Linked DNA regions of Canis lupus familiaris. The protein of the gene in region 2 interacts with the protein of the main gene of each other region in a biochemical or structural test. Links are inferred from orthologs where the notes say so. Each region holds a gene or a part of one and is shown on either strand. Other genes may lie near its edges.

Region 1 (4,340 bases), on a different chromosome or scaffold from region 2:
TATATAGAAACTAAAAAAAGATAAAACACTGGTCTTGAGTCATAATCTGTGCAGATGTACCTCACACCCTTCCCTTTCATCAGCCCTGTCCTTGCGGTTAACCAACCAGCAGACTCTTCCAGTTACTATGTTAACAGAAGGACAACCAACTTTCCTAGGAAATTTCAAGGGAATGAAGTCATAAAATCAACATCAAGAGGCCCCTGAAGATGTGTTCCTCAGGGTCTGTTACTGTCAAGTCTCTTACTGTTCAGCATTTGGTCAGTGAGCTGATGCCAAAGCTGACCTTCTGTCCACTGTGAGACATGATCCCTGTGACCCCACTTTCACTTTCCCCACTTTCAGGAAGCCACCATATTATTCCAAGTCTATTCTTGGGGGAAAGAAGAAAAGAAGGAAGGAAAAGAGAAGTTAAATATAGCAATAGTCAGAATATTATTTCATTTGCCTTGGGCCTCCTTTTCTAAATTTGGTGGGGTGGTTGACACAAGTCTTGATATATTTTCTGGTTACAATTCTAGTTACCATTATACTTATTATTTCCAAGGAAGACACCACATAGGACAGAGGATGGAAGGAAGGAGAGGGCCTAGGTTCGAAGGCCAGCAATCCCATCCATTAGCATTACGACCATGGGAAAATTACTTTTTCTGTGTTTCAATGGCCTTATCACAAAAAGGTTGTATATACCCCCACTGAATTGTCGTGAGGCTTCGAAGCATTGTCTTGTGTGAAACCCTGAGCACAGTGTCTGGCACATCATAAATACTTAATAAATTTTGGCTGTTGTTATCATAATAATTATAATTATTATCACCTTAAAAAGTATAGGGGCACAGAGTGGGAGTAGGAAGGAATGGAGGGAATGGAGGAACTGGCCACTATCTAGCCTCTCCACCAGAGGTCCTGGAGTTGATGGAGGGCAAAGACAAGGTCCAGCCTGCCCCACAACCAGGGCGTCAGGGGTGGGTAGACCAGAAGGTGCCTGATGAACTCTCATGCTGCATTTTATTGGCTCCGGAGAACACGGAGACATGCGCTAGGCCAAGAGACTCTGGCTTGGCCTGCAGTTCACACATTGGCTAGGAGGTTGTAGAAACACCTAGAGGACAGGCAGGCAGTGTGGGCAGGCTGGAGACTGCCACCCCTTTCTGGTTATCTGGGTCTGGGCAGCCATCATCGTCTCCAGCTGGAAGGGGATGAGCCTTGGTGTGACAGCTTAGTAACTGTCAGGACTCCTTTCTGGGCACAAAGTTATTTCACCTCACCCATGGGAAATTCTGACACACTGTCAGAAATGAGGGGTTGAAGGGCTCCTGACGGGCTCAGTCAGTAGAGCATACAACTCTCGGTATCAGGGTCATGAGTTCAAGCCTCATGTTGGGCATAGAGCTTACTTATTAAAAAAAAAAAGTAGAAATGAGGGATTAGGGGTAATCAAAAGTTAAGAATAGGAAATTGGAGGTAATTTGAGAAATGTATTTCAGAGAAGTGCTTTCCTTGGACGGCTCTACAAAAGGCACAGACGCTTGTGAGGTTAACTAACACGGTGCTCAACATCTCCAAATCCACTCTCGGGCAAACGTGGGTATGAATCTCTACCGTGCCCCTTGGAAGCTGGATACCTCGGAGCTATCTATCCACCTTAAAATTAGGTTTTCCCCATTGTAATAGAAACTGTGAACGGTACCAAGCAATCTCAAAGGGTTATTTTAAGTCATGAATGAAAGAACTTATAAAATAAATCTGGCATGTTGTTGGAGCTCAGTGTTACCTATTTTCGTAAGTGACCAAGTTTCTTTGTCATATCCCTTTCCTACAAAAGATAAGTGACTGAGGATTTTGCCAAGAAGCCTGGCAAATGCTTTACTCTTTCACAGACTTTTTCAGCTCAGGATAACCTCCAGGTTTCCAGCTAAAGCTTTCATGTAAATATTTTCCAAGTACAATGTCGACAGAATGGCCAAGATAAGGAGTTCACCACCCAGATGCCCGTGATTCCCAATTATATCTCCTGCATAGGCCTCTCCCTGAACTACCGTGGATTTTATTATTCAATTTCCCACTCAATATTTTTACTGGATGTCTGAAAGACGTCTTAAATTATACGTGCTCAAAATCAAACACCTGATCTTCATACAGAAGTCTGCTCTTCCCGCAGCCTTTGCCACTTCAATTAATGACATCTGTAATCTTCCAAGTGCTCATATGAAAAAGCTTGAGACATCCTTGATGCCTCGCCTTTTGATTTCCAATAGATCAGAAATAATGTTCACTCTGCTTTCAAAATACATCCCGAGACAGACCACCTCTCACTAGTCTTCTAATACAACTTAGATCCAAGCTAAAAATATCTCTTACCCGTGTTGCTGCCATTGCTCCTTAGCTGGACTTCTTGCTTCCACCCTTGATTCTTTTGGGAGTTGAACTGTGTCCCCAGAAAAGAGAAATTAAAGTCCTAACATCGGTATCTGTAAATGTGACCTTATTTGGATATAAGGTCTTTGCAAACAAATTCCTTCCTTGCTCCTTCCTAGCTCCTGGTGGCAGCATCCATCCTGACATTGTTGGCTTGAAGCTGAAATGCTCCAATCTCTGCCTCCATCTCCACACAGCCTCCTCCTGTGCATGGCTTTTTGTGTGTTAAATCTCCCTCTCCTTTCTCTTATTAGGATGCCAGTCATTGGGTTTGTGTCCCACCTTAAGTCTGGGCTGATGTCATCTCTAGATCTTTAACTTAATTACATCTGCAGAAACCCTATTTCCACATAAAGTCACATTGGCAGGTACCAGGGTTTAGGACGTGGACCTATCTTTTGGAGGATGACACCAGTCAACCTGCTACAGTCACTGAGAAGTGGAAAGGCCGGAACTCAAGCTCAATTCTGATGGCAGCATTCCAATTCCATATTGCCATCCCTAGTGATCCCAAAGGAATTCACATAAGCCACTCTAGACTTGTAACTGGCTTGAGAACAAGTGTCTCTTCAGTCATCTTCTTTTCCTAAGAGAAAAGTTTTATTTTAACTTTCCCACAATGTATCTGGAGTCAGATGGAATGTAGTCTCTGAATCTTTATGAGAGTTTCTTGGGAAATATGTGGAAGATTAGTCCAATGCTAAGCATCTTTGGCACCGTCTGTCTTCTTACTAGATGTTGGAGATGTTCTGAGACAGAGTCCCAGTGCGCACTACAACAGAGCTTCTAGCAACAGCACGTAGGCAAACATTACATTTGTAAAGATGCTCCTCCAAGAAGAGGGTGATTTAGACCTGTCTGTAATGTTTGAATTTTTTAACAATAAGAATGCATTTGGGTTCTGTGTAGCAAAGGATTATTTCAGCACATCTGGGTTGTCTAAACATGTATATTTCCCCAAAATATTTGGCCCTTATTCAAGTTCTAGGAGATAACCTCTAGGTCATTGGAATATCCTACTTAATAAAATTATCTTTGTTTACCTAGGTTTCTTGGGCTATACCAGACAGTTATGCTAACAATGTGACTTATTGAGGGCCTTGGGCCATATGGTATTCCCTTGATCTCTGGAGGGCCTGGGTTAGGTCAACAACATGCTCAGTCATCCATGCATATGTAATCGAACCCCAATAAAATCTCTGGACTCCAAGGCTCAATGAGCTTTCCTTGTTGGTAATACTTTGTGTGTATTGCCACACATCGCTGCCTGAAGAAGTAAGCACACCCCACTGGGATAGGACAACCGGAAGCTTGTGCTAGGTCCCTCCTAGACTTTACCCCAAACGCCTTTTTTCTGTTGTTGATTTTCATCTGTATCCTTTCATTACAATACACACCAAACACAGGAACCATTGCTTAATAAAACTCCATAATTTTTTAAACAGTGCATGGGTCCTTCGACATTCAGTTCTGGCAAACTCCTGTTGAATTATAAACTCCAACACAGTACAGATTGTGCCTTTCTACATTCATCTTTACTCCCACCTCCCCACAATACTCATATGGAGCTTTGCATGTACTAGGTGTTCAGCAGAACAAATGGGGATGACATTGAAGTCTGAGACCAGATTGAAAAATCTCCTATAATCGGAGCTGACTCATGGGCCGTTGGTGAGCTCTGCTATAAATTTTTCTGAATGGAATTCAATTCACACAATGACGATCACCCAAGGTTGAATGATGGGAGCCCTCATTTGATGGTTTTGAATGATAAACTCACCTAAGATGGCTTTCCTCCTTGAATCCTCCGTTCCCTGCCCCTGTGGCTTGGGAGACAATGCTTAAAGCTTGGGCAAGTCTGGCATGTTTGAACTGATCCCAAGGTGGTAGGGAACACACACTCCCTCTTCCCTTCTCTATCA
Region 2 (3,677 bases):
CCACTGTGTCTGTGACCTTAAACTTATTGCTCAATCTGAACCTCAGTTTTCTTTTCTGTGAGTCACAGCTCTATCAGTCATTATCTGGGTGACCTTAGGAAAATTCTAAACTCTTTGTGCCTTACTTTCTCCAGGTTGTCGTAAGGGTTAAAACACTAAAAAAATAAAAAATAAAAAAAATAATAAAACACAAAGAAGTGCTTGGCATGTGGTTAGTGCTAAATAAATATTTGCTATTTTTGTAATTATCTTAATGCTTACACATAATTAGCATACAAGAACCATACAAATTACAGCTATCATTATTATTTAATATTATTGTGTGGTAATCTGTTATCTGCACTGTTTATTTGGTTGGCCCTCAGGAAATATTTGTATTTATTATTTATATGACTATTTGATACGGTGGAATTTAACCTGAAGTTTCTTTGTATATATTTTTTTTGTATATATTTTCTATAGTAAATAATTCTCTACTTTAAAAATGAAAATGACAAAAAATTGTCAATGTGTAAGTTTTATATTTTAATATTTAATTTTTATTTTTAATATTTTGGGTTTCTTCTCAGGGTCAATGACTGTATATTGCGAGTAAATGAAGTAGATGTTCGTGATGTGACACATAGCAAAGCAGTTGAAGCATTGAAAGAAGCAGGGTCTATCGTACGCTTGTATGTAAAAAGACGGAAACCAGTATCAGAAAAAATAATGGAAATAAAGCTTATTAAAGGCCCTAAAGGTATGGAATAGTGAAACCAAGACAGATTATCAAGTAAGAAATTACTGAGATAAATGTAACTATCAAGTTACTAGTGACACACATTCTAAGATTAACAGTACTAGTAATCTACAGAACTTGTGTGGATTTTTAGAATTTCTCTTTAATTTCTGCTGATTTTTGTCTTAGGTAGAATTCTATTTAGCACTTGGAACTTATGTATACTGTTGCTATTAACTTGTAATCATCAATCTACAAAATGTATTAAATGCAGATACACGGGCTAAGTTAAAAGAAAGAAGTAATTATGAGTATGTCATTAGCCTCATCTGTAATGGGGACAGTTAATACTTGATTTCTGAGTTTTGAAAACATTGATGGAATTGAGGATAATTACTTATTCTAATTTGTAACTTTATGGAAGAAGTAGTATTCCAACAAATGAAAAAAAGAATAGAAAGCTACAAATTTGTCTAGTATTGAAGCTATGGAATTTATGAATTACAGAAATTCTTTAAAAAATTCAGAGGGGCGCTTGAGTGGTAGTCTGTTAAGTCTCCAACTCTTAGTTTCAGCTCAGGCCCTGACTTCAGGGTCATGTGATCATGCATGTCAAACTCTAGGCTTAAAGCTCTAGGCTCAAAAAAAGTTCTAGGCTCCACACAGAGGCTGCTTAAGACCCTCTCATACTCTCCCTTTCCTCCCCCACCCCCCATCCCTCTGACTCATGTGTACTTTCTCTCTTTCTAAAATAAATAAGTGAATCTTTAAAAAAATAAAAGTAATTCATAGAATATTGGAAAAGGAACAAAATTATCCACATTGTGAAGCCTATTAGTTCTGCCTACTACCAAAAAATTTTATTATTTTTCTCAATTGTTTTACTCTTATGAAGGTATTAAAAGTGTTAGAAACACAATCATGATGGGAACAAAATTGAAACATAATTTTGTAATGCCTCTTTGAACTAACAAACGCATTTACAAACAGACCTTAAGAAGTAACCTGGGCAGAGAGGACAGAACTTATTTCTAACTGTAGGAACATCTATATAAAAAATTGTTCAATGACTACAAAGTAAACACGTAAGACTTAAAAAATAGGCAAATAGGTGTGCTTGGGTGACTCAGTCACTTGAGCATCCAACCCTTGATCTCAGCTCAGGTCTCGATCTCAGGGTTTTAAGTTCAAGTCCCCCCTCTGGGCCCCATGCTGGGGGTGGAGGCTACTTTAAAAAAAAAAAGTAGACAAATAGATTCGTCTGTATTTAAAAAAAAAAACCAAAAAACATGAGTGTGATAAGACTGTCACCTTCTAGTTTTCAACCATTTCTGGACTTAAAAATACTTTAAATGATGAAATTTCAAAACTAGTATTTTCCAAACAGGTCTTGGGTTCAGCATTGCTGGAGGTGTTGGAAATCAACATATTCCTGGGGATAATAGCATCTATGTAACCAAGATAATTGAAGGAGGTGCAGCACATAAAGATGGTAAACTTCAGATTGGAGATAAACTTTTAGCAGTGAGTATAAGAAAGCTGTTATTTTAAAAATCATTTTCATGTCTCCTCTTTTTTTTTTTTTTTTTTGGAAAAACTGAAATTTTTCTTGCCAAAAATGTTTAAACAATATTTAAATGAATGAACACTAATTTTTAATCAAAACCTGAAAAATGGTTCTTGGTATTATTTGCCCCTTTGTTCCCCCTCTACTAGCTTCTCTCTCTTTTCTTTCTTTTTTTTTTTTTTTCCTTCCTTTTCCTACTCTTTTTTGTTGAAGGGCTAGGGAGTTGGATGCACAGAATTGTTTAAACACAGTATCACCCTTTGTGTGTGACTTTCTTTTTCTTGTTACTTAATTATAGTATAATGAAGACTGCTAAAATCAAAACTAGAATATCAACAACTTGTTTTTTATTCATTTGCTTTTAAAAATTGTTTAATCACATACCTATGCCTAAATATCTTGTTTAATATTAATTTGTTCTGAAAATGTTCTTAAAGGCTGTTGTGAAAAAAAAACAAAAAAAAAAAAAAAGGCTGTTGTGCTGAATGTAGTCTTTTAAATTTTATTTTTTACTCAGAATTGGTTTACTGAGATTTATCCAGATTGTTGCCTAGAGCTAAAAATTTATTCATTTCACCTCTACATAATATAGCTCCAGATCTATACTGCAGTTTATTTATCCAGTCTTCATCAATAATGATCCTAGTCTATGTTCCCTAGAAAAACATCTGAAGAAAAGGTACCGTGCTAAGGTTTCATTGGGAGATGTAATCTCAGAAGCTAGAGTGAATGAAAATGAAAAGTGAGGGAGAGAATAGGGGAAAGTCAATACAAGGTATTATGTTTCTGAGCTGGCTATAATTTCATAAGAAAATGTCACTAATTGACATATAGGACAGCCTTCCAGTCAGGTGATGTGACACTATTAAACTTTAGATCCAGCCATCCAGGGAAAAGAAAATATTTGTCTCCCTATCTCTTGTTAGATAGAGTCTATTCCATGAATGGTAACTGTCCCTAATTTCTGCACTGTTACTCAGCTACTCTGGGCAAATGCTAGGGAAGCCAGCTCCCATACTCCATGGTATAGCATTTCCTCTGAACTGAGAAGTGATGGAAAGAACCAGAGCTTCAGTGATCTAGACAGACCAGAACACAGGCTTTTGACGTGTTACAGCTCTCATTTCTGTGTAACACATTAGTCATGCCAAGTGCAGCCCTTACCCTAGAAAAGATTAAAAGATCTGGTAATGGTAGGAGACAAGGTGAGAGAAGTGGTAGCCAGGACTCTCCAGTAAGCACACAGCCAAAGCCTAGTAGGCATGTAGGCTCAAGAAAATCTGAAAAGGCACATAAACTAGATCTGATACAGTAGTAAGTTGGGTTATTGCTTTTTTTTTTTTAAAGGATTTATTTATTTATTTATTCGTGATAGAGAGGCAGAGACACAGG
Region 3 (4,253 bases), on a different chromosome or scaffold from region 2:
TGCCTTTTCATCTGTTGTTGAAAGATTGGTAACTTATGCATTTCATTTCAAGAAAAATTAAAACATACCACCATATTTTTCAGCAATGAGACGTTTCAGAGTGAAGAAATAGGTCAATACTTTTCAGTTTAATAAGTTTATATTTTATGAATATTCCTATTCTAGTTTGAGGAAGACTTCAAGGCGGCTGCTATGTTTACTGCTCAAATATCAGCACAATAATAATCAGGCCTTTGAAACTATGGGTGAAAATCCAGCGAATTTCAGTTGTCTTTCCTTTAGTAGAAAGGATGTGTGGCATTTTGCGTTCTGTCCCTTTTCGTAAAGAGCTCTAACTAGAGACACTCCCCTCCGGGGGTATCTTTATATTGGGAAGCTCTGCATGAGGTTGAAATTTTTATGGGGAACTTGTTTAAAACACAGTTAAAGGCGGGCTTGCTATAGCAAGGTTAGGGGTTGCCAATAAATCCATTTATAGCAACTTCTGTATTCCCAGCTCCAGACACACCACCGGGGTGACCCGTACAGTTTCCGAAGGCCACACACGGCAGCAGCAGTCAGTCCTGCCTGCTCTCTGGGTGACCGAGGCTGGTCCCGCAGCCTCCGGTGTGGAGGGGGCCGACCCCCCCCCCCCCCCGCCCCGGGCTTGAATGCACCGCCTGGGAGCCTGCGGGGTGCCGGTGAGCCCCGTCCTGGCTTTTGCTCTGCTGGGAAATAAGACATTTTGGGAACTTGGGCATTTAGTTTACTGCTCCCGACCGAAGCAATAATAACATCTTTGTTTCTCCCCCTCCCGGGCTCCCTCCTCCCGCCGACAGGAGCGCGCGGCGGGCCCCGCGGAGCAGCCGGACGGCCGGGCAGCCCCAGCGCCAGGGGGCGCGCCCCCCCCGCCCCGCCCCGCCCCGCCCGGGCACCGGAGAGGCGCGGGGAGATGCCTCCTGCGCCGCGCGGCTCCCTGAGCTCGCCCGAGCCCCCGAGAGTGGGCGGCCGCGCGGGCGCGTGGGGCGGGCGGAGGGAAGCCGGGGGGCCGCACAGACTGCGCTCCGCGGCTCGCTCCCGCCCGCCCTCCCCGGCCGTCTGCGGAGCGCGGGGGGCTGCGGGGCTGCGGGGCTGCGAGGCCGCGGGGCCGCGGGGCCGCCGGACCGCTCGGCAGGTCGGGCCCCGGGGGCGGGGCGGGCGCGCGGGGAAGGTGCCTCGGGAACACGCGCGGGGCGGGGCCTGGCGCTGCCAATGAGGCCCGGGGGCGGGCCCGGGGGCGGGCGGGCCCGGGGGCGGGCGGGCGGGGCGGGGCGCCGGGAGCCGAGAGGCGGCGGCGCACCGAGGCCGGGCGCTGGCGGGAGCCGCGCCGCGGGGCTGGAAACTTTCCCGGCAGGTAACTCCCGCCGCCCTGGCGCCGCCGCCGGCTTCGCTGGGTCCGGGCGGGGCCCGCTGCAGCCGCGCCCCGGGGCGAGGGGTCCGCGCGGGAGGAGGGGGCGACGCGGCCGGCGGCGAGGCAAGTGCGAAAGTTTCTGGAGCCCGCCCGGCCGCCCTCCTCCGCGCCGGCGCTCCCGGGAGCCGTCGGGGACGGGCTTGGGCACGTCGGGCGCCCGGGCTCGGCCCCGCGGGTGGAGGGGCCCCGGGAGGCGGGCGGGGGCGCGTGGCCCGCGGGGTGGGGGCGCCGGGGCTTCCGGGGCTCCGCGATGTCGGGGAGGGGCGCGGGAGGGGCGAGGCTCGCCGGGGGGCCGCGGCTCCCGGGTCCCCGCACAGGGCGCAGGGGCCCTCGGGGCGCTCGGGGGCCGCTCGCGCGTCCGGGGAGGCTTGGGGCGGGGGCGCGGGGCGCGCGGCTGGGGCCCGCCGGGCGCGGCCGCCTTCCGGACGCCCGGCCGCGGAGGAAGCCCCAGGCATTGTGTGGCTCCGGGTCGCAGCCGCCGCGAACTTCCTCGGCTCGGCGCGGCGGCGGGAGGGCGCGCGGCGGGGGCGGCGGCGGGGGCGGCCCGGGTGGGCGCCGCGGGGCCTCGGGGCGCGTCGGAAGCGCGGTCCCGCGGGGCTCAGCCGGGGAGCGAGGGCGCCGCCCTCCTCCTGAACTTGACCCCAGAGCAGCGCCGTCGGCGGGTCCCCAGGTCGGGGCGGGTCGGACCCAGCCGCGGGCCTCGACCTCGACCTCGACCTCGGGCCTGGGGCTGCGAGTGCGCTCGAGTGAGGAGGCGGAGGGGCTGAGAGCGCAGGAGCAACCCGGGAGCTGGGCTCAGAGTTGGTGGGATTTTTTTTCTTTTCTTTTTTGAGAGTTGGCATTCCTCTGTAGTGGAAATGAGGGGAGTCTGCATCTCTCCAGCCCCCCCCCCCCCCCCCCCGTCACGGTTATTCCCGCCAGGCTGGCACTCCTGGGGGCGGGGGGGAGCTCTCCGGCCCTCCGAGGCGGTTCAGATCTGCTACCGCGAAGAGTGCTGGATTTTAACAGCTGCTTCTTGGATGCTGAAACCGGGGAGTGTATGAGCGACGGAGAGACGGTGGATGCGGAGCCCGCCTGGGTGTTCCGCTCGCTCCTCTAATGTACTTAGAGGTTCACGGGGGACCTTCCCGAGAGGATGCCGGTTTCTGCGGTTTGTCAGCCACGGCGCAGGGCGGGTGTCAGGACTCCCGGTGCACGGATCCTGGTGGAATTGAGATGAAAAGTGTGCAGGAGTAAAGGAAATGCGGTATCTGACATCCTTCAGGACTTCCTCCTGGCGCTGCTCCTCTTACCTGCCAAGTGAACTTGGTCCAGGCTTCCGGACTGTTGTGATCTGACAATAAGGGATGGGAAATCGTGTCATCCATTTTAGTGGAGGCAGGAAAGTCCAGAAATAAATGTAAGGCTACTTTTTCATGACCCTGTCTCTCTAGCTGTGATGCCACAAACTTTTAACTTTTGCTGGGACTTGGAAGCAGTGTTTTTCTGCTTTCTTGGTTTAACCACCAGAATGTCCAAATTATCATAATTTATGTCCATCGTGGAACTAAAGCATAACTGATTCATAGTCAGCCCTTTTCTGCTTCCCATAAGAGCCTGTAGAAAAAAGAACATTTTGTCTTTTTCACCACACACCATTTATTTGGTGCCATACTGGGTTTTTGATGCTGGATGATTGAGGGCACAATTTTGAAGACAATGAAATTGTCTTGATTAAATTGTCCGTTTTTAGGCAACATTCCCCCTCAGAGTTGCTGATTAATTCTTTATCAAACCAGTATCCCTGGGCTGATATAACTATAATCCACGTTATAATGACGCCTGCCAGCACAGCTGGAGGTTAATGTTATGTCAATGTTTCCTTTAGACATTTCCAACCGGATCCTGAAGGTTTTGCCTAGGTTGGATTGAGGGTAGGCTGTGAACCTCACGGTCAGAGAAGTGGCTTTATTTTAATTTTTCTGATGAAAAGTTTAGTTTAGTTACAGGAGTAAAATTTACAAATTCAAAATGAAGCAGAGGATGTGTGTGTGTGTGTTGGTGGAGAGGGATTTTAGTCTCTAGGATAACTTTGTCTTTTATTTTATTTTATTTTTTAAATATTTTATTTCCTTATTCATGAGAGACACAGAGAGAGAGAGAGGCAGAGACACAGGCAGAGGGAGAAGCAGGCTCTATGCAGGGAGCCTGATGTGGGACTCGATCCTGGGACTCCAGGATCAGGCCCTGGGCCGAAGGCAGGCTCTAAACTGCTGAGCCACCCAGGGATCCCTGACTGTCTTTTAAATGTGTATTTCAGTGGTGGAAAATTAGAACCTCCCCCCAACCAGTTTACAAAGTGTTTTGTATACAAGGCTCTAACACCTTTCTGTTTTTTTCATCATCATCATCTCTAAAATGGGATTATCTTTCAACACTAAACTTCTCTAAGACTTGGAGAAATGTGCTTAAGCACAGGTTGCAGAATGCCTACTATTAGCACAGTGCTTTGGGGTTTACAAAGGGCTTTACCTATGTATTTTAACCCTTAATTCTCAGGTTAGTAAACTGAGGCTGAGCCATTTAGATCAGTTTGCTGGGTTTCATCTATAAGTGGTGGAGTTGGACTTGTACCTGGATCTGCTCATTCTCCTTATCCCCTCTCCCTTTATTTATGGAGTCACCTGAGGATTGGCTAAGACTTGACAAACAGACTAATGCTAATATGTGGCAGTTTCTTATAGTATTTCATTTATGGGTTCTTCTGGTTTCAGAACCCCAGGGTTAACATCTATGCTTTGATGTCAGAGATTAAAAACAGATCAGTAACAATGGTAATAAAATT
Region 4 (4,293 bases), on a different chromosome or scaffold from region 2:
TTTAGTGAAGGAAGACCTCCCTAAACACCAAAAGGGGCCCCTGACCCCCAATTCCTTAGAGCTACCACCTGGAGCCCTGGCTGTGAGGCCTTGGGCCCAGGGGGGTGGTGGCAGACAGGGTCTGGGACTCCCGGCCAAACTGAGGACCCCTTAAGGGCCAGCACTGCACACCCCTAGTTTGTCTGTTAGATCTTCAGACCGACGGGTCTCACTGGTCCTATTTTCCGGATGAAGAAGCCGAGGCTCACGGCAGCCAAGTGACTTGCCCACGTTACGCGGTGGATGAAGGACTGCAGTGCAGGACTCCGGGGCCCAGGGAGCACAAGCCGGAGGGGGGGAGGAAGGAGCCGGGAGGGGGGCGGGGGAGGCGGGGGGCAGGGCTCACCCCCCAGGCCTGGCCCAGGGAGGGAGTCTCTCCCGGGAAGAGGGGAAGAGGCGCAGGCAGGCACCAGGCTGTTGATCTCTAAATTACAGCGTTGGCGCGCACCGGTTGCTGCGGCAACGGAGTTGTCCTGAACGGGGAAGTGTATAAACATTGCCACAGATGCACAATTAGATCAGGAAGAAGAATAGAACAGAAAATAGAAACTTCCAGCCTTATATAATTCTGGGCCAAAACGTTACCGGGCGCCCAGGCCCCGGCCCAGCCCCGCCAGCGGCTGGGGCCCTGGGCAGCACCGAGGGCCTCTCCCTCCCGGGCCGTGGCGGGGAGGGGGTGCGGGGAGGGCTGCCCCCCGTGGGCCCAGCTGGTGCTCCCGCCGCCCCCACTGAAACACAGCTGAGGAGGCTGACAGGCAAACCCTGCCTCTCGCCAGCTCCCTCCTGCTCTGGAGCCGCGCGAAGGAAGGCAGGGGGGTGACTGGCTTTGACCAAGCACCTACTACCTCCTGGGTCCTGCGAGGTAGGCTTTGAGCCCCCGATTTTACAGGTGAGGGGAAGTGAGTCTTCTCAGGTGTCACAGCCAGGCAGCGGGTGTGCCTGCCTCCCCGCCTCCGCACGTGGGCCCACGGATGTTGACAGCACCTGGGGGCGGGGGGCACCGAAGGTTAGACACACCTGAGTTTGGATTCGCTCAACAGCTAGCTGTGTGGCCTTGGGCAGGTCACTTCCCCTCTCTGAGCCCTGCTCCCTCACCTGTGACGTGGGACTAGCGATGCCTCCATTGGAGCCAAAGTGTGGGGGCTCCCCCTTCCTCCATCTCAACCACTTCCATTGGCGTCTTCACCCACTTCTGTTCCCAACAGGACCGGGGACAGGACGGGAACCCACATGGGGCTACGGGGCCCAGCACAGTCTCGTAGGACTTTCCACAATGATGGAAATGTTCTGTATCAACTCCGTCGGAGATGGGAGCCATTAGCCACAAGTGGCTACTGAGCGCTTGAAATGGGGAGAACTGAAGTTAAAATTGTATTTAATTTTAAGTAAACGCACAAAGCCGCAGGTGGCCGTTGGCCGCTCTGTCGACAGCACGGGAGGACGGCCAGCCCCAGAGACAGCCAAGAGGGCAGCGGCTGAACCCAGGGAGGTGAGCAGGGGCCAGAGCGGTCACAGCTCCCTCCGCTCAGGGCAGGTGGGGCAGGTGGTGGAGCCGAGACGGGTACCGGGAGGCTCCCCAAACAGGGTGGGGGCCATGGAGGCTCAGAGGGGACAGCCGGTGGCCTCGGCTTCTGGCCCTTGGAGGCGCGGCTCGGGCCCCCACGCTCCGTCCCGCGGTGGGAAGCACCCCGCCGGCCACATTCTGTCCCCGGGCCCAGGAGGTCCTGCGGCTTAGGCCCGGCCCTTCCCTTTCTGAGCCGGCATCTCACCTGTCGGGCTTCTCCTCCCCAGGCCCTGCGTCTTCCCAGGTGACCACGCCGGCCTCAGGACATGCACGGACACAGCCGCAACGGGCAGGCCCACGTGCCCCGGCGGAAACGCCGCAACCGCTTCGTCAAGAAGAACGGCCAATGCAACGTCTACTTCGCCAACCTGAGCAACAAGTCGCAGCGCTACATGGCGGACATCTTCACCACCTGCGTGGACACGCGCTGGCGCTACATGCTCATGATCTTCTCCGCGGCCTTCCTCGTCTCCTGGCTCTTCTTTGGCCTCCTCTTCTGGTGTATCGCCTTCTTCCACGGCGACCTGGAGGCTGGCCCGGCGGCGGCGGCGGCAGCGGCGGCGGCGGGGGCCCCGACGGGCAGTGGCGCGGCGGCCCCGACGGCCCCCAAGCCCTGCATCATGCACGTGAACGGCTTCCTGGGCGCCTTCCTGTTCTCGGTGGAGACGCAGACGACCATCGGCTACGGGTTCCGGTGCGTGACGGAGGAGTGCCCGCTGGCGGTCATCGCCGTGGTGGTCCAGTCCATCGTGGGCTGCGTCATCGACTCCTTCATGATCGGCACCATAATGGCCAAGATGGCCCGGCCCAAGAAGCGGGCGCAGACGCTGCTGTTCAGCCACCACGCGGTCATCTCGGTGCGCGACGGCAAGCTCTGCCTGATGTGGCGCGTGGGCAACCTGCGCAAGAGCCACATCGTGGAGGCCCACGTGCGGGCCCAGCTCATCAAGCCCTACATGACCCAGGAGGGCGAGTACCTGCCGCTGGACCAGCGGGACCTCAACGTGGGCTACGACATCGGCCTGGACCGCATCTTCCTGGTGTCGCCCATCATCATCGTCCACGAGATCGACGAGGACAGCCCGCTCTATGGCATGGGCAAGGAGGAGCTGGAGTCGGAGGACTTTGAGATCGTGGTCATCCTCGAGGGCATGGTGGAGGCCACCGCCATGACCACCCAGGCCCGCAGCTCCTACCTGGCCAGCGAGATCCTGTGGGGCCACCGCTTCGAGCCCGTGGTCTTCGAGGAGAAGAGCCACTACAAGGTGGACTACTCGCGCTTCCACAAGACCTACGAGGTGGCCGGCACGCCCTGCTGCTCCGCCCGGGAGCTTCAGGAGAGCAAGATCACCGTGCTGCCTGCCCCGCCGCCCCCGCCCAGTGCCTTCTGCTACGAGAATGAGCTGGCCCTCATGAGCCAGGAGGAAGAGGAGATGGAGGAGGAGGCGGCAGCCGCTGCTGCCGTGGCCGCAGGCCTGGGCCTGGAGGCGGGCTCCAAGGAGGAGGCGGGCATCATCCGAATGCTGGAGTTTGGCAGCCACCTGGATCTGGAGCGCATGCAAGCCACCCTCCCTCTGGACAACATCTCCTACCGCAGGGAGTCTGCCATCTGACCTCCAGGCCCCGCCCTCGTCACTTCCCACAAGAGCCTCTGCCGGGGGGTGGGATGCCAGGACACCCCCTCCACACTCAGGACAGAGCTGACCCTGGCCCCATGGACCTCCTGGAGGGAGGTGGGGGCTTCAAAGACTGGGGAACCCCTTCCTATTGACTCCAGAGCCCAGGCCTGGGAAGGGCCCAGGATCCCCTCTGCCCTGTCAGCCTACCTACTGGCATCTCGGGGACCCCAGACCCACCACCCTTTTCCCACTGACACTTCAAGGACGTGCCCCCTTTACTCTCAGAACCTTGGGGAAGGCGGCTGGACTGCTGGGGGGTGGGCATCATGGGGTTCTGGGGTGGGCAGGGGTTAGTGTGGGGGGAGGGAGGGCGGGGGTGCGTTTCTTTTGCATGACTGTGACCTGTTGCTCTTGACTTTCTTTTGTAAATATCTATAAATGGAGAGATGGAGGCACCAAATCCACCTTCTGCCATTTGTACCTGCAGGATGAGGAGGTGCGGTCCCTCTCTGTGAACCCCTCCCCCTCCCGGCCCAGTGAGCCTAGCCCCTTCCCCCCCCCCCCCCCCCCCCCCCCCGCCCAGCTGGCTGGTCCCCAAAGCCAGCCATCCTGGCCCCTGGATGGTGTTGGGTTTGGGTGCAGAGGTGGGGCCCCAAGAGGCAGGACGAGGACCATCCCCTCCCTGTGGTCCCTCCGGATCCCCGGGGTCCAGCCCAGATTGACAATGGAGTTTGTAACTATATATTTTTAATAAAGTATATGGTCCATTAGGGGTAGGCTGATTGAAGATGACAAGCGGAAGAGAAGAGATAGAGTGAGAGAGAGAGACCAACATGATGTGAGTGTGTCTGTGTGTGGTACGTATGTGTCCCTTTCTGAGACACTGACCCTTGGAGGGGACTTTACCGCCTGCCATTCTCCTTCCTGGGATCCAATGGGAGAGATCCCCAGCAGGCTTCAGAGGACCTGGGCTTTGCTACTTAACAGCTGTATGGCTGCCAGCAAGTTGCCCATCTGCTCTTGGCCTCAGTTTCACCATCCGTAGAATGGGATGAGCCACTGCTCCCTCCT
Region 5 (4,365 bases), on a different chromosome or scaffold from region 2:
AGAACAGGTGGCTGGGAAAATAAGCAGGGCGGTGGGCTGATTCTGGAGGGCTCAGGGAAGTCGTCTTTGATGGGGTAACCTGTCAGAAGGTCAAGGAGAAACACAAGGGCAGGTTCTAGGGTGGTCAAACTTAAAGGCGGCTGTGGCCTAAGAAAAAAAATGAAGGATAAAGTATTGGGAGAAAAGACTGCTGCAGAGGTAGGCAGGTTGTGCAAGGCCTTGTAAGTTACGGAGGACTTTGAACTTTTATTCGATGTCTGCTTAGAAGCACATGTACATATACATTTTAGTTACATTTATCTTTGATTGGTAAAATTCAGGATTCAAAGCATAAAATATGGGCAGCCCGGGTGGCCCAGCGCTTTAGCACCTGCCTTCGGCCCAGGGTGTGATCCTGGAGACCTAGGATCGAGTCCCACATCGGGCTTTCTGCATGGAGCCTGCTTCTCCCTCTGCCTGGGTGTCTGCCTCTCTCTTTCTCTCTCTCATGAATAAATAAAAATCTTCAACAACAACAACAAAAAAAGCATAAACTATTCTGGGCACCTGGATGGTTCCTCTTTTCCTCCGGAGGTCGGGATGGAGCTGAGTCCTGGGATCCAGCCCCATAGCGGGGGGTGTAGTGTAAGATTCTCAGTCTCTCTGCCCTTTCCCTTCTCTAAACACACACACACACACACACACACACACACACACAAACACCCCCCCCCCACCCCGGCAAAGCCTAAGATATCCCAAATCCCTGAACGCAAACGCCCGCTGGCCTCCGTTTCCTCGCACGCAGCGCCCCCCCCACCCTCGGGAGCTCCGCTACGGCCGGGCCGTGGCCCGCGGGGGCAGCGGGGCCCGCACACGCGAGTTCGCAGGCCCCGGGAGCGCGGCGAGGCCCGGCTGTCACCCGCAGGCCCGCCCCGGGGCTCTCTAAGTTGCAAGCGGCCGCGCTCCCACGCTGGTTCCCACGCTGCGCCCCGGCTCCCCGCGCGGAGCCCCGAGCCGGCACCCAGCCCGCGGGCGGCCGGGGCGGGGGCGGGGCGGGGGCGGGGCCGCGCGGCGGGGCGGGGGCGGGGGCGGGGGGCGGGGCGGGGCCGCGGGGCAGCGGGCGGCCGGCGAGCTCGGCGGGGCTGCGGCTGCGGCTGCGGCGACTGGGCGCGACCCCGGCCCCGAGGGCGGGGATGCTCGTGGGCCCTGGGCGCCGCGGAGCCGCGGAGGTACAGCGGCCGGTCGGGGCGCGGGGGACCCCGGGGGCCCGGGGCGGCTGGAGGGGCGCGGGCGCCCGGAGCATCGGCTGGCAGCCCGCGGCGGGTGGCGGCTCCTGGGGGGTGGGGGGGGGGCTGCCTGCCCTGCCCTGCCCCTGCCCTGCCCGCCCTGCCCTGCCCCCGCCGGGGGGCGCGCGGGCTCCACGCTCTCTTTCCCGCCCAGGCGAGCCCGACCGACCGCGCCCCGGCGACCCCGCTATGGACGCGAGAGCCGCGTGGACTTCCCGGCAGCCTGACCCCGCTGTGCGGAGGCGCTCCACCCCTCGGCCGCCGCCGCGGCCCGGAGCAAGCGCGGCCGCAGCCTGCCAGAGCCCGGCGCCCGCGACGCAAGAAGGAAAAGAGGAGGAAAGGGGAGGAGAACCACAAAAGAAAAAAAAAGAGGCCTCCGGGAGCACGAGGGACAGCAAGGGAGGGAAGCGCCCCAGTGCAGCGAAAGGGGCCGGTGCCCGACGGGAGGACGCTGCGCCGGAACCTCGGAGCCGGCTCCCCGAGGCCGCCAGGGCCCGCGCGCCCCCCGCGCACCGCCAGCTCGCCCTGCAGCCCCCCGCCCCCGCCCCCGGCCCAGGGGCCCGCCCCGCGCCCCCCGGGGGCCCCCGCCGCGCCCCAGAGCCGGTCCCCCGAGCGCAGGGCGCCCCCGCCGCGGCGGCCGGCCCAGGACGGCGCGCCCCCGGGGGGCCCCTGCGTGGTGCTGAGCACCAACAGCCCCGCCGCGCTCAAGGTGGGCAAGCAGCAGCTCATTCCCAGGAGCCTGGCCTCCGAGGTCCGAGCCAGCAAGGCCCCCCTGCAGAACGGGGAGCCCCACAGGAGACTCCTCAAGGTGCGCAGCATGGTGGAGGGGCTGCGGGCGCAGGACGCGCAGGACGAGGCCGAGCCCGAGCACGACGCCGGCAGCCCGGGCTCCCTGCGCAGGGGCCTGCGCTCCACGTCCTACCGCCGCGCCGTGGTCAGCGGCCTGGACTTGGACAGCCCCACCACGTCCAAGAAGAAGAACAGGATGTCCCAGCCCGTGCTCAGAGCGGTGATGGAAGACAAGGAGAGGTTTTCCAGCCTGGGAAGGATAAAGGTGAGAGTAGGCAGGTGTGTCTCCCTCCCCCCTCCCCCCTCCCCTACACACACACCCTCCTCCTGCTGCTGCCCCTGGAAGCCAGGGTCTTGGACGGGGTTGGCGGTGGGGGCCAGGGCCACGCAGGAAACCTGAAGCTATCCTTCTCTCTTTTTTTTTTTTTTCTTTTTTAGGTTTTATTTATTTATTTATTCATGAGAGACACAGAGAGAGAGAGAGAGAGAGGCAGAGACACAGGCAGAGGGGGAAGCAGGCTCCATGCAGGGAGCCCAATGTGGGACTCGATCCCAGGACCCCGAGGTCATGCCCTAGGCTGAAGGCAGGTGCTAAACCGCTGAGCCGCCCAGGGATCCCTTATCCTTCTCTTTTAATTCTCTTTGTGGGTCAGACCCGTGCACACCGACCTCTTGGCCCTCCCAGTGCTGGCTGTCACAGCCAGGGTAATAATGCACCTTCGTGGGAAGAAGGGAAACGCTTAGTGCTGTTGTAACTTTTTAGGGCAACACGTGGGGGGACTAATGTGAAGAAAGAAATACAGCGAGTCAGGTATGGGCTGAGTGCTGAACGCTCTGAATACAGGGGGCTGAACAGAGGGTGGAGAGCAGCCCCGGTGCCCTGGGCCCTGTGCTCAACCTGGTGCTCATCCAGAGGTGTCACTTAGGGACACCTGTCAGGGGCACCGGCGACTGACTCCTGATTTCTTTTGAGCGTATTGATTACTTTATTGAAAGCGGCTTATCTACGTGAATCAATTACAGAATGGTTTGGTCAGTGCTGATAACATACTACATAGCGTTCAGGCAAAATGCGATTTTTATTTTTTTATTATTTTTTTAAGACTTTATTTATTTATGATAGACACAGAGAGAGGCAGAGACACAGGCAGAGGGAGAGGCAGGCTCCATGCAAGGAGCCCGACACGGCACTCGATCTCGGGGCTCCAGGATCGCACCCTGGGCCAAAGGCAGGCACCAAACCTCTGAGCCACCCAGGGATCCCCAAAATGTGATTTTTAAAGTTATTTGCCAGAATTACAGAAGATACAGAGAGTTTGTCATCTCTGTTGTTGCTGGTGTCTTTCGCCACCGTCTGTGGTTGTGTTTTATGCCCATGCTGTGCCCGTTTATTCTTGGATGCATTTAACAAGTTGGTAGCTCAGAACTTCAGGTTCAACTGAGCCGTGTGTATTAATTACTCCCTGATAAAGGCCTGGGAGTTGCGCGTATTAAAATACTGCCAAATATGACGAAGGGACGGGGAAAACTAAAGAAGGATATTTTGGAGTGTGCATGTGCCGCTTTCTCTGGGAACAGTTTAGACAGATCTCAGCAGAAATTCATTTTGGCAGCCACCACTTTTCTTGATTAATCAGAGAACTGGAAACAGTTTGTGTAAGCGTCAATATGTAATACGCAAGTCAGGCTATTTTATTTTTGCTCTCATGGCCTTAAAGAAATGACATAACATTTTAGGGGTCCCCTCCCAACCCCCTCACCTCTGCAAGTATAGCAGAGTTCAATTTAACAGTGATTGGTGAACCCTGAGTAGTGAAATGAGCTGAAGTGCTGGTCATTTGAGGATTCTCAAGCTGTTTTGCTGGGGTGTGGGGGACATTGTACGTTTTATTTCACCGTTTAGTGGGTTGTACATTTTATTTCACCATTTTAGTGGGTTGTAGTCAGATGAGTGAACTACTCAAGGGATCATCTGCTGTATGCTTTTGGAAATCCAATGAATGTAACAAGTACTTTTTCTTAAAATAGCTGTATTTTTTTTTATTTGGCTCATTCATACATAGTTTGCTTTGCTTTTTCTTTTTCTTTTTTTTTTTTTTTTTTGCTTGTTTCTTAGAAAAAAATGCTGAAAGGACAAGGAACATTTGATGGGGAAGGTAAGCATTTGATTTTCCAGACTTTTATTGCTGCTTCAATGTGGAATATCAATTATAAGTTGAAATCCAACTGCAGTAACAAAAACACTTAAGATGAGAAAAATGTCCAACTTCTTCCCAAATTATACAGTACAAAGCTCTGCACTAAGCTAAAT
Region 6 (4,114 bases), on a different chromosome or scaffold from region 2:
AAAACTCGGGTGGGTTTAGGCTCCGAGGCCGACAGGATTCAGCCTGGAGCAGCAGGTGGTCAAGCGCTGAATCCTGCTAATGGCTCCAGAAAGCCATTTCTCCTGTGCTCCCCAAGTGCTTCCAGTAATAGAAACTGGTGGATGCCCTGAATTCTGACTGTCGTGATCCTCCCCAGCTCTCGGGGCCACCCTGCGTTCTCGGGAGTCCTGTCGGACCCACTGAATGCAAAAGCATAGGAGACAGAAGACCAGGGCAGTCTTTCCAGGTCCTGCTGAGGACGTGAATTAGCTGGACCTGGAGGGAGCCGACCTAGAAGAGAGGCCAGGAATTCCAGGTGACAGAGGAGCCAGATCGGGGCTGCGAGGAAGATGCGATCAGCAAGTGGCAGATCGGAAACAGAAGTGGGCAGAGAGAGGCAAGGGAGCCGGCCGGGGTGGGTCCGGGAGACGGGAGATGATGGATGAAATTATGAGGGGAATGTCTGATGGGTGGAGGATAAAATCCGCACAAACTGGGATTTTAAACATAAGGAGATAGTCCCCTGAGAAGATGTAGGAGGAAGCATTGAGGTGAACATGGAGGAACCGCGAGGAGGAAAAAAAAAAAAAAAAAAAAAGATGATTATCAGAGAAGTAGAAACTGGGATTAGCTCCTAGGCTGTGGGTGGTAGGGAGTGTTCTGGAGTCTGGGGAACAGAAAAACAACAACAGGGACATGCTTCAGGGCGGCAGGAAGTGCCAACCTAAGACAGGCCGCTGGGGAGTCTCCGAAGGCCCCCGTGTCCTCACTTCTGTCCTCCCCCTAACTGAGACTGTGGTGCATGGACATAGGGGTTTGGGGTGAGTACCAGACAGCAGAGGCCGAGGTCACTGTCGCCCTGTTCAGAGCCGGCAGCATGATGGACGTGCATGATGTCTGTGCTCTGCTGGCAGCGTTCACCGTCTCCGTCGGTCCTCACCAAGAGACGGGGGAGGTTCCATGTGCCCTGCACTTCGTAGGTGAGGAGACTGAGGCTTGTGGAAGCCGTGGAGCCTGGGTGAAAGCAGGCCGGTTCCTCCAGCGGCCCTGATCCTGAATCAAGACAGAGAGGGGTGGAGAGGCACTAAATTCAGAAGTATTTGATGAGTGGAAATTCAGAAAAAAAAAAAAAAAAAAGAAAACCTATGCCTTGAGATCAATGAATGATGGAAGCAGTTGTAAGGTGACCGCGTCGTTGTCGTGGAAGGAAGAGAGTGACCGCGAGAGTTAAGACCTGGCATGAGCGAAAGGGACGGCCACGTGGGTGGAGTGGAGAGAGGAGAAATAATTGAGTTGCCATGAAAATAGCCCGAGCGGGAATCAGAACCAAAGAAGAGGGCAGGAGGGTGGTTGGGTGAGGAGGAGACGTAACCGGCTGCGGTGGTCCCTCGGGGCTTCGGGTGCCTTGCTTGCTTGAGGCCCAGAAGAGCGGGGTCTGGGAAGGAGGCGCCGTCGGCTCTTTACGCGTCGATGCTTTTTACTCTGCTCCCATGCTTGTTCCCTTCCTTTTTCAGGTGGAGTGCTGCTTCTGCGCCGCCGCAGCTGAAGGATGCTCTGCGCTCCCTGGCTTTCCATGGAGACCTCCGAGCCGGGTTGGCCCCCGCTGACACCTCGCCTCGTACCTTCTCTACCTCCCAAGCTGTTCGCCTGTGTCGCGAGCTCGGCCCGGGCCCCGCGCCCCGGAGGCCTGTGCTGAACCCAGGGAGCGGCCGCGGGCTCTGGGCGGCGATGGCCCGACGCGCTTCCAGCCGCTCGCCCGCTCGGGTCAAGCCGTCACGAGAAGGCAAGTGCTAAGACTAAAGGCTTATTTGCATTTTATTTAAATCTGATGGACCGAGCTTTGGACGATTTCCATGGCAGAAAAATCCATTCCGTTTTCCAGGCACAAGTGCTGGCCGTCAGATAGCCGCGGCCTTTGAATCCCGGGCGGCGGCGGTGGCCAGTTGGGGCCGCGCTTCCAGACTGCGCCTGGGCCCCGGGCGCTGGGGGCCCCGGCGGGGACTTGGGCCCGGCGCGCGCTACCCGGACGGGCCGGGCCTGGAGAGCAGCGCTCGTCCCTGGGAACCGAGAGCATGGGGCGTGCTGGTTTAAAAACGGAAAATGCAAAGTTGGACTGAAAATATCCTCAGTCTTCCGAGCAATCTGCTGAACGGTTCCAAACTTACCTTAGTGTGGTGAGGCGGGGAGCTGCCCCACTTTCCGTCGCCCGCCTCCCGCGGCCATGGAGGTCGCGATGGTGAGCGCCGAGAGCTCGGGCTGCAACAGCCACATGCCCTACGGCTACGCGGCGCAGGCCCGGGCCCGGGAGCGGGAGCGGCTGGCCCAGTCGAGGGCCGCGGCGGCCGCGGCGGTGGCGGCGGCCACGGCCGCGGCCGCGGAGGGCGTTGGGGGCCCCGGGGGCGGCGCGCACCAGCAGCACCAGCAGCATCAGCAGCACCAGCAGCAGCAGCTGCAGCAGCAGCAGCCCCGCGGCACCTGCCCCGCACTCGAGCCCCAGGGCGGCCGTGTGGCCCGGAGGCGCCGGCGCTCGCGGCCCAACCGGAGGAGGCCTCAGCCGCGGCCCGGCGGCTTCCCGCACGGCTCGGACCTGCTGCCCAGCGGCTCGGAGGAGAGGATCCTGAGGGAGCTGAGCGACGAGGACGAGGACGACGAGGACGACGAGGACGCCGAGGAGGAGGCCCGGTTGGGCCGCGGCCAGGACGACCGCGCGGCCCACGGCTCCTGCAGCGACCTGCTGCCCCGGGACGACGGCGCCTACGGCCCGGGCCGGCCCAGCGGCTGCTGCGAGCGGGTGGTCATCAACGTGTCGGGCCTGCGCTTCGAGACCCAGATGAAGACCCTGGCCCAGTTTCCCGACACCTTGCTGGGCGACCCCGAGAAGAGGACGCAGTACTTTGACCCGCTGCGAAACGAGTATTTCTTCGACAGGAACCGGCCGAGCTTCGACGCCATCCTGTACTACTACCAGTCGGGCGGCCGCCTCAAGAGGCCGGTCAACGTGCCCTTCGACATCTTCACGGAGGAGGTGAAGTTCTACCAGCTGGGAGAGGAGGCCCTGCTCAAGTTCCGGGAGGACGAGGGCTTTGTGCGGGAGGAGGAGGACCGGGCCCTGCCGGAGAACGAGTTTAAAAAGCAGATCTGGCTCCTCTTCGAGTACCCGGAGAGCTCCAGCCCGGCCAGGGGCATCGCCATCGTGTCCGTCCTGGTCATCTTGATCTCCATCGTCATCTTCTGCCTGGAAACCCTGCCCGAGTTCCGGGACGACAGGGACCTCATCATGGCACTGGGCGCGGGCGGACACGGCGGGTCGCTGAACGACTCCTCGGCGCCCCACCTAGAGAACTCAGGGCACACCATCTTCAACGACCCCTTCTTCATCGTGGAGACCGTCTGTATCGTCTGGTTCTCCTTCGAGTTCGTGGTTCGCTGCTTCGCTTGTCCCAGCCAAGCGCTCTTCTTCAAAAACATCATGAACATCATTGACATTGTCTCCATTTTGCCTTACTTCATCACGCTGGGCACCGATCTGGCCCAGCACCAGGGGGGCGGCAACGGGCAGCAGCAGCAGGCCATGTCCTTTGCCATCCTCAGGATCATCCGTCTGGTCCGCGTGTTCCGGATCTTCAAGCTGTCCAGGCACTCCAAGGGCCTGCAGATCCTGGGCCACACGCTCCGAGCCAGCATGCGGGAGCTGGGCCTTCTGATCTTCTTCCTCTTCATCGGGGTCATCCTCTTCTCCAGCGCCGTGTACTTCGCGGAGGCCGATGAGCCCACCACCCATTTCCAGAGCATCCCAGATGCGTTTTGGTGGGCCGTGGTGACCATGACGACTGTGGGCTACGGGGACATGAAGCCCATCACCGTGGGGGGCAAGATCGTGGGGTCCCTGTGTGCCATCGCAGGTGTCTTAACCATCGCTTTGCCAGTGCCAGTGATTGTCTCTAACTTTAACTATTTCTACCACAGAGAGACTGAGAATGAGGAGCAGACGCAGCTGACACAGAATGCGGTCAGTTGCCCGTACCTCCCCTCTAATTTGCTGAAGAAATTTCGGAGCTCTACTTCTTCCTCCCTGGGGGACAAGTCAGAGTATCT
Region 7 (3,677 bases), on a different chromosome or scaffold from region 2:
GAGTGGCTCACTTTATCCTGGAGCGGAAAGGCCTGAGCCGGCAGATGATAGGGGAATTCCTAGGGAACCGGCAGAAGCAGTTCAACAGAGATGTGTTGGAGTGAGGACCCCAGGAAGGGGCAGAGACTGGGCTGGGGCTTCCTGGAAAAGGAGGGCAGGAGGGAGGAAGTGGGCAGTTGGTCTGTTGTGCTCAGATGAGCTTGACAAAACAGGATGAAGAGACTTTCCTGTTCCCGTACCCCTGTACTTCACAAAAGCTCTCATCTCTCTTGGCTCTATGCCCAAAAGTCTTTCTGGGTGGCCCGGCTTATCCCCTGCCCTGCTTTGGGCCCCCATTTTCCTGTCTCTGAAATGAGTGGGTCAGTGGAAAGGACCCCGAGTAACCATGTAGTCTGGCCCTGACTTTTTGGGGGTGGATTCCATTTCGAACATTCCTTCCTCATAAGGACCTGCTAGGGACCATGGGTCCAGATTTTGGAAGTCTTGTCAGTGGGGGTGTCCGTCCATTTAGGCAGGTCAGGGTAGGTCAGAGGTTTTCTGCAGAGGACTTGAGAGTGCCATACCCACTTCTGTGTTTCTCAGCTGTGTGGTGGATGAGATGGACTTCTCCTCCATGGATTTGGATGATGCACTCCGAAAGTTCCAGTCCCACATCCGGGTTCAAGGCGAGGCCCAGAAAGTGGAGCGACTCATTGAAGCCTTCAGGTGTGCCTGTTTCCCCACTCTCCCCAAGCAAGATTGGGGGTGGGATGGGGATGGGGAGAGGGGTCAGTACAGTATGCATCTCCAAGTTACCTCTCTGGGCCTCCTACTTTCCTCACCAGAAAATGGAAATGATAAATCCTACCTTGCCAGGCAGTTGTGCAGTTGTGAGGATCAGAGGTAGCGTGCCTAAAGTGTTTGGTTCAGCATCTGGGACGTGGGCATCCAATAGGTGACAACAGCAGCCACAGCTAATATTTGTTGAGCACTTACCAGGTATCAGGTGCTAAGCTGGGCACTTTACACAATTATTTCTCTGGATGCTCACAACAACCCTGTGAGGTAGGTGCTTTTATTGTGATTCCCATGCTGCAGATAAGAAATCAGAAATTTAGAGAGGTTAAGTAACTTGCTCAGGGTCATAAAGTGAGTAAGAGGCAGAGCCAGGACTTGAACTCAAGGGTGTTTGCTTTCATGACCAGATGCCCTTAACTTAGTAGAGTTAATGCTTTGGGGATTAGGCAGACCTGGATAGAAATCCTGGCCCCATCACTTTGGGGTATTTAGCAGAGAAACAGAAGAATTCCTAAGAACTTGTTGCCCATAATGGGAGAAGGATTTGACTTGTTAGAAAGATCTGGATTTTCATCTTGTCTTCACCATTTACCAGCTCTATTACCCTGAGAAAGATACCTCTTCACTTTGGGCCTCATTACTTCCTCTGTCACATGGGGCTGCTAATAGCTACTTTGTAGAATTCTGATAGGATTACATGACACAAGGTACCTAAGTCCCCTAGCAGAGCTCCGAAGAGGTAGTGGTTGTGATTTTTACACACTAGTGTTGGGGAAACTGAAGAAAGAGGTTGTACCCAAAAGGCTTGGGAGTATTTCTTGGGGGAGAGGGTTGGTGGCACCAGACTCAGGACAGAGGGGCAATGGTGGGTAGGTGAAGATTACTGGTGCCTGACCCTGGCCCTGATCCTGCCCTGCAGCCAACGATACTGTGTGTGTAACCCAGCCCTCGTGCGCCAGTTCCGGAATCCAGACACCATCTTCATCCTTGCTTTTGCTATCATTCTTCTCAATACTGACATGTACAGTCCCAGCGTCAAGGCTGAACGCAAGATGAAACTAGATGACTTCATCAAGAACCTGAGAGGTGACCCCAGGTCCCCCTGTTGGCTTGTCCTGTCCTTCCCTTTGGAAGGGAGAGTGGGCAGGGTGGGAGTGGGCTGGGGAAGGAGGAGGGAGATCATATAGGCTCCCTGGATATTAACCTGTGATGTTCTCTGATTTCCTCCAAAGCTGCCATATTCCCTTATTAATTCACTCAAATACTTGTCCATCCACTCATTCCTGCACTGAACACTGACTGAGTGGGTTCTGGGGTTACAACAGTGGATGTGAGAGATGAAAGTCCTGGCTCTTACAGAGCTTATTCTAATCCACCCAGGCATTGACGCATCACTCCCTCTTCCCCTCTCCTCTTTATTTATGCTCATAAAGGCTCATTTAATTATGCTCTGTGCTCCTTCTCCATCCATACATTTATTGATTCCCTTGATCAGCCAGCCAGACGGCCAGCCAACCAACACTGAATGCCTCATGTGTGCCCGGCCCTGCAATGGGGACTTAGGACACCGTAGCCCCTGCCCCGAGAGAGCTCCCGGTTTGTGGGACTGACTTATAGTACCAGATACCCAACACAAGAGAATAAATAAGTGAATCATGATGTCAGATAGGCCGAAAGTGCAGTCAGAGCTCAGAGGTAGGAGAGCCCACCTTCAATACACTTCCTGGAGGAAGTAGAATTTTCATTTTTAAGATTGACCTTCAAGGCATAGACAATGTGACAATGTGACAGAATAGCAACAGAGGAGGCTTACCTAGCAGTAAGAATAAAAAGGCACAGAGGTAGGAAAAGTTGTTGGGAGAACAATTAAGATGGGGTGGACGACCTAGTCAGAAAGGTCAGTTGGAATCAATATATGAGGGCCTCAAATGCGAGGTGAAAGGTGTCACCTTGACCTTTTTTCTTGGTTTATTGTGTTGATATCAAGCCTGTCATCTCACTAAAGAGCAGCCTACTAAAAGCGGCACAGATGTTAGTATTATTTAAACAGAAATGAAAGAGAGCAATAGATTTGAGGAAAAACAAACAGATGAGACAAATTGGCTGACCGACAGGCTTTGCACGGTTGCTGGGCTTAAGCTCTCTGGCAGCTGAGATAAAAAGATGATGTGATGAAGGATGTTCCCTTAGCACCTGTCCAAGGAGGAGATGTGGCATTTCCAAAGGAGAATACAGTTTCTCTAGCAGAAGATTTAGGGGGAAGAGTGAGTGGGTTTCACTCAGCAGACAGGAGTGGAGAAGGATGGTAGACTCGGGGGGAGGGAGTTAGATCAGAGGCCATCTGGAGCTGTCTTCCAGACTCCTGCTGTTAGTCATTTGTTCATTCACTCATTCTCCCCTTTCTTTCTCCCTCCCTCCTCCTCTGTATGTATATGTGTATGTGTGCATACATATGGTTACATGCATACACATGTGTGTGCATACATATATGTGTATATATACGTGTGTGCATGTATTATTGTATATGTGTATATGTATTTGGAGAGGAGGTACTTCCTCTCTATGTATATGTGTGCATATACATATATTTGTACATACATTTATATATATATATGTATTATGTATGTGTATATCTTTCCCCCTCCAATTATTAAATAAATAAACAAGCGAAATGAATACTTGCTCATGCCCAGAAATTTTGGAAATAGAGCAAATGAGAAAAAATTTGTTTAATTGTCCTGAATTCTGCTGCCTAGAGGCAGCCATGGTTGATATTTTGCTGTTTTCTAGTCTTTTTTCCCCCTCAGCATATGTAACTTTTTATACAGTTAAGATCACAGTTAAGCTGTGAATGTAATTTTTATCCTGCTCTTTCCACTTACTTTGCTCCAGGAATTTTC

What was found.
Region 1: the proteins of DLG1 (region 2) and CYSLTR2 interact in a test that uses a peptide from one of them, tested with the Homo sapiens proteins (2 studies listed by IntAct, with this or other methods). The link is inferred for Canis lupus familiaris from reciprocal best matches to the Homo sapiens genes DLG1 and CYSLTR2.
Region 3: the proteins of DLG1 (region 2) and TANC1 interact in a test that uses a peptide from one of them, tested with the Homo sapiens proteins (2 studies listed by IntAct, with this or other methods). The link is inferred for Canis lupus familiaris from reciprocal best matches to the Homo sapiens genes DLG1 and TANC1.
Region 4: the proteins of DLG1 (region 2) and KCNJ4 form a complex in vitro, tested with the Homo sapiens proteins (2 studies listed by BioGRID and IntAct, with this or other methods). The link is inferred for Canis lupus familiaris from reciprocal best matches to the Homo sapiens genes DLG1 and KCNJ4.
Region 5: the proteins of DLG1 (region 2) and ARHGEF26 interact in a test that uses a peptide from one of them, tested with the Homo sapiens proteins (2 studies listed by BioGRID and IntAct, with this or other methods). The link is inferred for Canis lupus familiaris from reciprocal best matches to the Homo sapiens genes DLG1 and ARHGEF26.
Region 6: the proteins of DLG1 (region 2) and KCNA4 interact in a biophysical measurement, tested with the Homo sapiens proteins (2 studies listed by IntAct, with this or other methods). The link is inferred for Canis lupus familiaris from reciprocal best matches to the Homo sapiens genes DLG1 and KCNA4.
Region 7: the proteins of DLG1 (region 2) and IQSEC2 interact in a test that uses a peptide from one of them, tested with the Homo sapiens proteins (2 studies listed by IntAct, with this or other methods). The link is inferred for Canis lupus familiaris from reciprocal best matches to the Homo sapiens genes DLG1 and IQSEC2.

What each region holds. Positions count from the first base shown.
Region 1 is NC_049243.1:2,926,102-2,930,441, forward strand, and holds the start of CYSLTR2 (cysteinyl leukotriene receptor 2), read right to left. Parts: upstream 2,817-4,340; 5' UTR 2,362-2,816; intron 1-2,361. UniProt on the Homo sapiens protein: Receptor for cysteinyl leukotrienes. The response is mediated via a G-protein that activates a phosphatidylinositol-calcium second messenger system.
Region 2 is NC_049254.1:30,810,961-30,814,637, reverse strand, and holds part of DLG1 (disks large homolog 1), read left to right. Parts: intron 1-569; coding exon 570-739; intron 740-2,105; coding exon 2,106-2,242; intron 2,243-3,677. UniProt on the Homo sapiens protein: Essential multidomain scaffolding protein required for normal development. Recruits channels, receptors and signaling molecules to discrete plasma membrane domains in polarized cells.
Region 3 is NC_049257.1:5,020,735-5,024,987, forward strand, and holds the start of TANC1 (protein TANC1), read left to right. Parts: upstream 1-1,288; 5' UTR 1,289-1,372; intron 1,373-4,253. UniProt on the Homo sapiens protein: May be a scaffold component in the postsynaptic density.
Region 4 is NC_049231.1:27,345,782-27,350,074, forward strand, and holds the end of KCNJ4 (inward rectifier potassium channel 4), read left to right. Parts: intron 1-358; exon of another isoform or gene 359-901; intron 902-1,244; exon of another isoform or gene 1,245-1,528; intron 1,529-1,830; 5' UTR 1,831-1,869; coding exon 1,870-3,216; 3' UTR 3,217-3,781; downstream 3,782-4,293. UniProt on the Homo sapiens protein: Inward rectifier potassium channels are characterized by a greater tendency to allow potassium to flow into the cell rather than out of it.
Region 5 is NC_049244.1:48,836,702-48,841,066, forward strand, and holds the start of ARHGEF26 (rho guanine nucleotide exchange factor 26), read left to right. Parts: upstream 1-1,454; coding exon 1,455-1,582; intron 1,583-1,883; coding exon 1,884-2,319; intron 2,320-4,170; coding exon 4,171-4,210; intron 4,211-4,365. UniProt on the Homo sapiens protein: Activates RhoG GTPase by promoting the exchange of GDP by GTP. Required for the formation of membrane ruffles during macropinocytosis. Required for the formation of cup-like structures during trans-endothelial migration of leukocytes.
Region 6 is NC_049242.1:51,057,429-51,061,542, reverse strand, and holds the start of KCNA4 (potassium voltage-gated channel subfamily A member 4), read left to right. Parts: upstream 1-1,254; 5' UTR 1,255-2,240; coding exon 2,241-4,114. UniProt on the Homo sapiens protein: Voltage-gated potassium channel that mediates transmembrane potassium transport in excitable membranes. Forms tetrameric potassium-selective channels through which potassium ions pass in accordance with their electrochemical gradient.
Region 7 is NC_049260.1:45,329,428-45,333,104, reverse strand, and holds part of IQSEC2 (IQ motif and SEC7 domain-containing protein 2), read left to right. Parts: coding exon 1-100; intron 101-582; coding exon 583-705; intron 706-1,696; coding exon 1,697-1,863; intron 1,864-3,677. UniProt on the Homo sapiens protein: Is a guanine nucleotide exchange factor for the ARF GTP-binding proteins.